Canis lupus familiaris: one gene and its partner. The protein of the gene in region 2 interacts with the protein of the main gene of each other region in a pairwise test. Links are inferred from orthologs where the notes say so. Each region holds a gene or a part of one and is shown on either strand. Other genes may lie near its edges.

Region 1 (3,648 bases), on a different chromosome or scaffold from region 2:
TGTTCAATTCTCTTCAGCCACTCTTGGCTTTTCTTTTTCCAAAATGAAACTGAAGAGAGCCTATAATAATGAGAACATTTCTAGGCCACAGGACACTTGATTAGTTTGCTTGCCTGCTTGCACCAAGGAATTCCAGTCACAGAGTTTATCAACAGGCAGCTAATCTATTTCCATTTTTTTTTGCCAATTATATCTAGTTACATTTACAATATAAGAAACCGTTGAGTGTTTCTCTAGTAAATTATATCTAGTTACATTTACAATATAAGAAACCACGTTGAGTGTTTCTCTATTAAGTTGGAATATTTGGGAATCTGGTGAACTGAAAGATTGGAGCAAGGCAAAAATCTAGTAAAGTTGGAAGATTTGGGAATCTGGTGAACTGAAAGATTGGGGCAAGGCAAAAATCTCTGAATTTATACAAACTTCCAATATAAACTTACCTTCTGTTTTCTGTAGTATCTTGTATTGATGCCACAGTTTGCTGTTTGTCAATTAAGAGTTCAAAATTACTAAGAAAATGGCATTTCCCCTTTAGAATGCACCCTTACTCAGGGCCTGAGTTACACTTTTGAAAAGAATATATCACATATGTTCTATTTTAGCAAAATCTGACCTTTTCCATTTAGCTACTGCAAAAACTTGGGAATGAAAGGATGAATTGATCACTAGTATGAAACCAAACAGCTTTGAGGGAAAAAGCTAAGTCAAAAAATGTAAACATGAAAAAAAATTTTAAAAAATGTAAACATGCAAATAAAACCTACATTATGAAATACTGTCAGACTGGCATATTTTAAGTTTATAGGAACATAATTAAAAATTACAGTAGAAGAAACTTTTATCTATGGACTGTATAAAATGAGTATTTTTACATTTTATTCTGTAAGCAGGATATATTATCGATATTTTGTTTAAAGCACTTTAAATAATACTTGGATCTGCTAAAAAGACCAGGTAATAATTTGAAAATAATCAGAGGATTTTGAAATCATCCACATTAGTTTTTTTCCCACACTACTTTTTGACTAAGAAACCAAATTAATCGTGCTATCATTTCTCAAATGAAAAAATCAAAAGGCCAAGACAGAAGGAAAGGGTACCTTCTCCATGTCGGTCAGTATACTGGAATGCTTGAACCAAACGCAGTGTTTCATCCACTGATCTACCAACTGGGAGGTCATTCAGAGTAATCTGTCTTAGGATTCCTTTGTCATCAATAATGAAAAGACCTCTGTAAAACACAAGAGTGGTACAGGTGAGGTCATTTCATCTCAATTAAGACAAATATTAGTTAATCTGAATCACTGTGCCATCCACACAGAAGGATGTTATACAGAACCAACAACACATTACCTGTTTGGTGTGCACACATGCAAATACAACCCCCTGCCCAAACCCACTCTTACCTACTGTATAACTTGGGATTATCATTGTTAAATGGTAGCTTTAAAAATTTGTTTTTGTCTATGAAATGTACTGTTGTATTTCCATTTAATTCTTCACAAGTACTAGGTTTGGGATTTTAATGCACTGTAAATGAAATGATGAATCTATATAGCAAAGTCTACCTTTGGGTGAAGGAGTGATCCACCTTTCTTATCACTGGCTATTTAGAACATCTTTGTATTTCCTTTTTCAGAGGTGGAAAAGACAAAGTCACCAATATAAGCGAAGTTACCTTTCTCTTTAAATCTGTGTATTTACTCTATGGCCTAGGGAATAATGGAGCAGTTTAACTTAAAAGAGCTGCTATACTGAGATAGCATGGCAAGAGTTAAAGCAGACCAGAAAAAAACAAAAACTACCAAAGGACTTTACTGTTTTTATTTCAGTCAATATGGATTTCAACCTAACACTTGGTTTAGAAAAAGATCTCAGGTACTAGGGCTAATTGCTTATGAGAATTATAAATAATAATGAGATCTATTTTTAATAGAAATACATGGAATTACAAATCTATTACATGAAATTTTGTTTCATAATCACATTAAACATTATAAAGTGTTTTTGCTTATCCTACAAAATATTTCTTTAATGAGCACCATGATGTCTGAACTAACTAGAGCTCACTTTCCTTGGACTAGGTCAACTTGGCCAAACTTGGGCAAAACTGTAAACTATTACTCATATGGGTTTTCTTTGATGTAGCTACTTTTACCAGTAGAAAATGGTTGTTAATGCTGATGAAGTCTGTTCCGAAGTTAAGTGAGTCTGATTTGAAATTGTGAACTTACTTCTGTAACATACATCGTACCAACACACACCCTTGGGCACCTGGGTGGCTCAGTCGGTTAAGCAGTTGACTTTTGATTTCGGCTCAGGTCACGATCTCGGGGTTACATGGTTTTTACTTGGTTAATGTTCAGATAATTTGAAAGTTCATTTTAATTCTATTTTTTAAAGATTTTATTTATTCATGAGACACACATGGGGGGGGGGCAGAGACATAGGCAGAGGGAGAAGCAGGCTCCACGCAGGGAAGCCTGATGTGGGACTCAATCCCAGCACTCTGGGATCATACCCTGAGCCAAAGGCAGATGTTCAACTGCTGAGCCACCCAGGCGTCCCTAATTCGAAATTTTAAAATAGCTTCAGTCTTTTTAGTGGCATACTTCCTCTTTGGGAATTAACTTAGTAATAAATTTTATGAAAAGAGACTAGACATTAAAGACTTGGCAAGCACAAAAAAAGAAACTATTGGTAGTGACATGATAAAATATGAATGAGCCTTGAAAACATTATGCTAAGTGAAAAGAGGCTGGTCATAAAAAAGCACATATTGTAGGATTCCATTTAAATGAAATGTCCAGAATCGGCAACCATAGAGACATAAAGGAGGTAAGTAGTGGGCCAGGGCCAGGGCAGGGGGATTGGGGGAAAGGGAGAGTAACTGCTAATGGGTATGGGGTTTCTTTTTAGAGTAATGAAAATGTTTTAAAATTGATTGTGGTGATGATTGCACAACTCTCTAGCTGTACTAGAAACCACTGAATTGTAGGCTTTATTTTTTATTTATTTTTAAAAAAGATTATTTATTTATTTATTCATAGACACACACACACACAAAAAGAGAGAGAGAGAGAGAGGCAGAGGGAGAAGCAGGCACCATGCAGGGAGCCTGATGTGGGACTTGATCCAGAGTCTCCAGGATCACGCCCTAGGCTGCAGGCGGCGCTAAACCGCTGTGCCACTGGGGCTGCCTGAATTGTAGGCTTTAAATGGGTGAGTTGTATGTAAATTATCTCAATAAAATTGTTATTAAAAAACATAGGCCTATAAAATACTGGTAGTTTCACATAAAACATTAAAAAAGAAATTATTAGCACTGCATTTTGATAATATAATAAAATTACAATTGTTTTAAGCTAAAGTTATCCTTTTTTCAAAGACTTCTATTGGCACTTCCTTAATTTTTCCCACTCCCCACAGCACAAGTTTGCTAAATAATATAATAATTGTACTTAGAAAAACCATTACTGGAGTCATTTTAGAGAAAAGGAGAAAGAAACAGGCAAGGAGTTTTGGTACCTGGCTTCAAGTGTAGGCTCTGTCATTAATTATGTAACTTTGGTTAAGTTCATGGAATTCTATGAAATTGTTTATCTGTAAAATGAAGGGTTGGTCAAAGAGCTCTAAATAATCTTC
Region 2 (3,748 bases):
GGGCAGGTCGAGGCTACCCTCTCCACAGGTGGTCAGGGGAGGGCGTGAGAAGATCCCCTAGAGATGCAGTGAGAGGCCCTGGGGGGGGGGGGCAGCGTGTGCCACCACCTCGCCGTGTGACCTTGAGCAAGTGCCATCATTTCCGAGCTTGTTTATTTATAAAATGGGGAAAAAGAGTCGGCACAAATTTGACCAGATTTCTCAGGCCCCGCCCGGTTCTGAAATTCGGTCATTTCCCAGCTGCAGCGCACCCACCCTGGAAGGGACTGGGAAGCGATCAGGGCCAGCGCGTGGAGCGGGGCCCACCGGCCAACGCCTGCCCTCGGAAGGTGCCCTGCGTGGGAGAGTAGGGGGCGGAGGCAAGCGGGGGGAGGGGGGCTCGAGGCTCAGACGACCCGGTGACCCTGCTGCTGGGGAGTAAGTGGCCGCGCTGCGCCGCGGGCTGGAGGGGCGCAGGCTGCGGGGGGGGGCGGGGTGCGCCCCGAGGTGCGCCCCAGGCCTCCGGGGAGGCTGCGCGGCTGCGAAGGCGGAGCAGCGGGCGCTGCAGGGAGCTCAGCCCGGGGAAGCCCCGCGGCCGCGGCTCTAGAGCGCCCCCTCCTCGGGGTGGCGCGGCCCGGGGCGCGCGGGGCGGGGGGAGCCTCGGGAGTCCGCGAGCTGCTATTTTTAGCGGGCGCGGCGGGCGCGCGGGGACTATTTATAGATCAAACAATCCGCGCTCCCTGCGTCAATGGAACCCCGCGTGCGTCACGCGCGCAGACATTCCAGCCTCTCGCCCCGCCCCCCGGGCTCCCCGGCCCGCGCCTCCCCCCGCCGCCTCCCGCCGGAACCGCGCCGCCCCCCGCGCCCTTGTATGGCCACAGCTCGCCGGGCCGCGTGCGTCAGTGGCGCCCCCGCCCCTCGCCGTGCGTCACGGAGCGCTTAAGAGGAGGGTCGGGCTGCGCCGGGGAGCCCCAGCGGCACAGGCTGCGGAGCCCGGAGCGCGCGGCCGGGAGCGCACACGCGGGACGGACGGGCGGGCGGAGCGGAGCCGCCGGGTAGGTGCCCCGCGGGGAGCGTGCGCCCCAGCCCCGGCTTTCGGGGTGTTGCATGGGGGAGACGGCCGTCCGCGCGGGCAGAAAGGATGTTGTGGGGTCGGCGTGCAGGGGCGCGGGCGCTGGGTGCAGCCCGGGCGTCGGGGGGAGCGCTTGCAGCGGGGGCACGACCCGGGCCGCACTCCAGCCCCCGGGCGCCCGAGAGGTGCAAGGTGGAAGCCAGGTGGAAGCCGCGGGGGGGGGGTGGGGTGGAGTTGGAGTTGGCACCGGGAGTGGGGACTTGCTGGGGACGAGGCTGCCTGTGGTTCAGCGCCCCCCCCCCCACTTGGGTGCCCGAGTGGCCCAGGGCGCCCCGGACCGAGGTGCTGATGGGCTCTCGGTACAGTGGGGCGGGGTGTGTGTGTGTGTGTATGGGGGGGAAGATCCCCAGAACTTGAGTTGCAAGGATCCGCGGGACTCCTGCCAGCTCTGGGTTTCCAAAAGGGTCTCCTTCCTCCCCGGCTGGTCGGCCTCCTCCCCCACCCCTCGTTCCTTTAGTTGTTTTCTTAACACGTTAGAGGCTGTGGCTTAGTTTGCAGGGATCCCCGAAGTTGGTGCCTGAGCGGTGTTAGGAGACTTCTGGATTGCTGGAGGAAGTGGCCAGCATGGGGGGCTTGGCTGAGCTGTGGAGGGGGGCTGCTGGTGTTCCACTCAGTCTTCTTAGAGGCAGGGTCTGGGAAGCACCGGGAAGATTGGTTAAGAGGTGTCTTGGATCCTGTGGGGCGTGGGGGCGGGTGCGGACAGAGGAGAGAGAGAGAGAGGTGTGGAAATCTTGGTCCTTGGGGATCCCGAGTGAGAATTGCTCATGTTGGAGTCCCTGGTGTAGTACCTGAAGGACACCCCCCACAGCCCCACAGCCCGGTCACACCCGTGCCCCCCTCCCCCCAGTCCCCGTTGGATCCTACAGGTAGGGTGCAGCCCGCAGCTTGTTCAGCATAACAGGTGCAAACCACATTGTTGCCAGGACCTGCCTGAAGCCGGATCCTCCCTGTTCCCTCCTCCAGCCCCGCCTCTTCCTCCTCCCTGGGGGACTGCTTCTCCCCCACCCCCTTGACGCTGGATGCAGGTCCATATCTGCTGTAGTTAAGTACCTGCGCCGAGGGGGGTGGAGGGGGAGGACAGGTTGGTGGGGGTTGATCCGGATGTGGGATGTCCAAGTGGAGAAACAGGATTTGAATAAGGCTGGAACACCCAGCCTTATTCCAGGTGGCTGCTACCTCTTCTCCACCCCAAACCCATCCCTGCCCCGGCTGTCCTAGCGCTGGAAGACGTGGCCACTCTTATCTCTTGCAGGTGCCGCGTATGCCTGCGGGCGGGCGGGTGGGCACTACCGGGTGGCTGGTGCAGAGCTTGAGGGGCTGTGTGGCCCCCGGCCGGTTGTGGCAGTGTCAGGCCAGGGGTGCGTCGCCCGTGGAGGTGGGAGAGGGCTGGACCCAGAGGACGTTCCCCCCCTCGCCCCCCCCCTCCCCGGGCTCTTGGCCAGGAGGTGGTGCCAGCCTTTGCCCCCTCTCTCTGTTCCCTTGATCGTGGCACTCTGTGTTCCAGCTTGCTTTCTTGCCCCGCCCCCCCCCCCCCCCCCCCCCCCCCCCCGGCCCTGGCTGGGAGGGCCAGAGCCGTGCAGACCCCAGGGGTGGACATGGGATGGGAACCCGTCCCGGGGCCGCCTCTGCGCTAGTTTGCCACGGGTCTGCAAACTTGAGGATCTCCTTCTAAGTGGTGCTGTCTCTGCCCCTTCAGGCCGCTCATGATTGAGGGTGTAACCAACCCTCTTTGCCTGAGCGCCTGGGTTATTCAGGGCCCAGAAACTCCTTCGTGGAGGGACCCAGGCGGGGGCAGGATGGCTTCCATCTGCCCACCTCCCGCCAACAGGCTCCTCCCTGTATGGCCACCTCGAGTCTGCTGGACTCAGAGTTCTCTTATAAAACTAACAAGAGGCAATGCTTTGGGGGTAGCAGAGAAATTCTTCTTAGGGACTGTCCATTCTCCTGGAAGTCTAGGGGGCCTGTTCTCTCCTCCTTCCTGCCCCTATTCGGCTTCCCTCCGGTGTACAGCCTTTAAAGGTCTGGAGCCCGGCTACTTGATCCCCTGGGGAACTGGGGATTGCTGAGGAGGGCCAGGGCTCCCTTCCTTTTTGCCTTTGGGAGCATCCCAGGCGGTGCCGAGTGGGTGCCCATCCCCAGATGGCAGGACTGGGGTGCGCGTGGGAGCTGCAGCCTTTGTTCAGTGTGTCGGGTGGGGGCAGGGATGGGGGACAGGCTCGGGGCTGCTTAGGCCTCTTGCTTAGCAGCTGGGCCTTCAGTCTCGACTCCTCTTCCATTTTCAGGATGTCCTTCCCAGGCACCGTGGGGGGAGGAGGAGAGGGGGCTTTGCAAAGGCTGGGCTGTGCCTGGGAATATTCCCAGAAGTGCCAGGTTGGAGAAATGACATACCTTCACCCAGAGAGTGGGCTAAGTAAGGCTTTGCCTGGCTGCCTCTCCCACCCACCCTTCTTCCAGCCCCTGCCCACGCCTTACCCGGTGCGGGAGGGCAGGGGGCTGAAGGAACACAGCTTCCCCCTGTTCCAGCAGAGAAATGCTGGCTAGATGCCTTCCCTAGGGTTCCCAGGCTGACCGGGGTGTGGCTGGCCTTCCAGCTGAGCCCACTCCTGCTGGGCCACTGCCCGGGGGCTTTGTGACATG

Evidence for each region.
Region 1: the proteins of NR4A1 (region 2) and PRDX4 interact in a two-hybrid assay, tested with the Homo sapiens proteins (2 studies listed by BioGRID and IntAct). The link is inferred for Canis lupus familiaris from reciprocal best matches to the Homo sapiens genes NR4A1 and PRDX4.

The regions. Positions count from the first base shown.
Region 1 is NC_049260.1:19,457,534-19,461,181, reverse strand, and holds part of PRDX4 (peroxiredoxin-4), read right to left. Parts: intron 1,235-3,648; coding exon 1,104-1,234; intron 485-1,103; coding exon 444-484; intron 1-443. UniProt on the Homo sapiens protein: Thiol-specific peroxidase that catalyzes the reduction of hydrogen peroxide and organic hydroperoxides to water and alcohols, respectively.
Region 2 is NC_049248.1:43,697,745-43,701,492, forward strand, and holds the start of NR4A1 (nuclear receptor subfamily 4 group A member 1), read left to right. Parts: upstream 1-970; 5' UTR 971-1,034; intron 1,035-3,748. UniProt on the Homo sapiens protein: Orphan nuclear receptor. Binds the NGFI-B response element (NBRE) 5'-AAAGGTCA-3'. Binds 9-cis-retinoic acid outside of its ligand-binding (NR LBD) domain.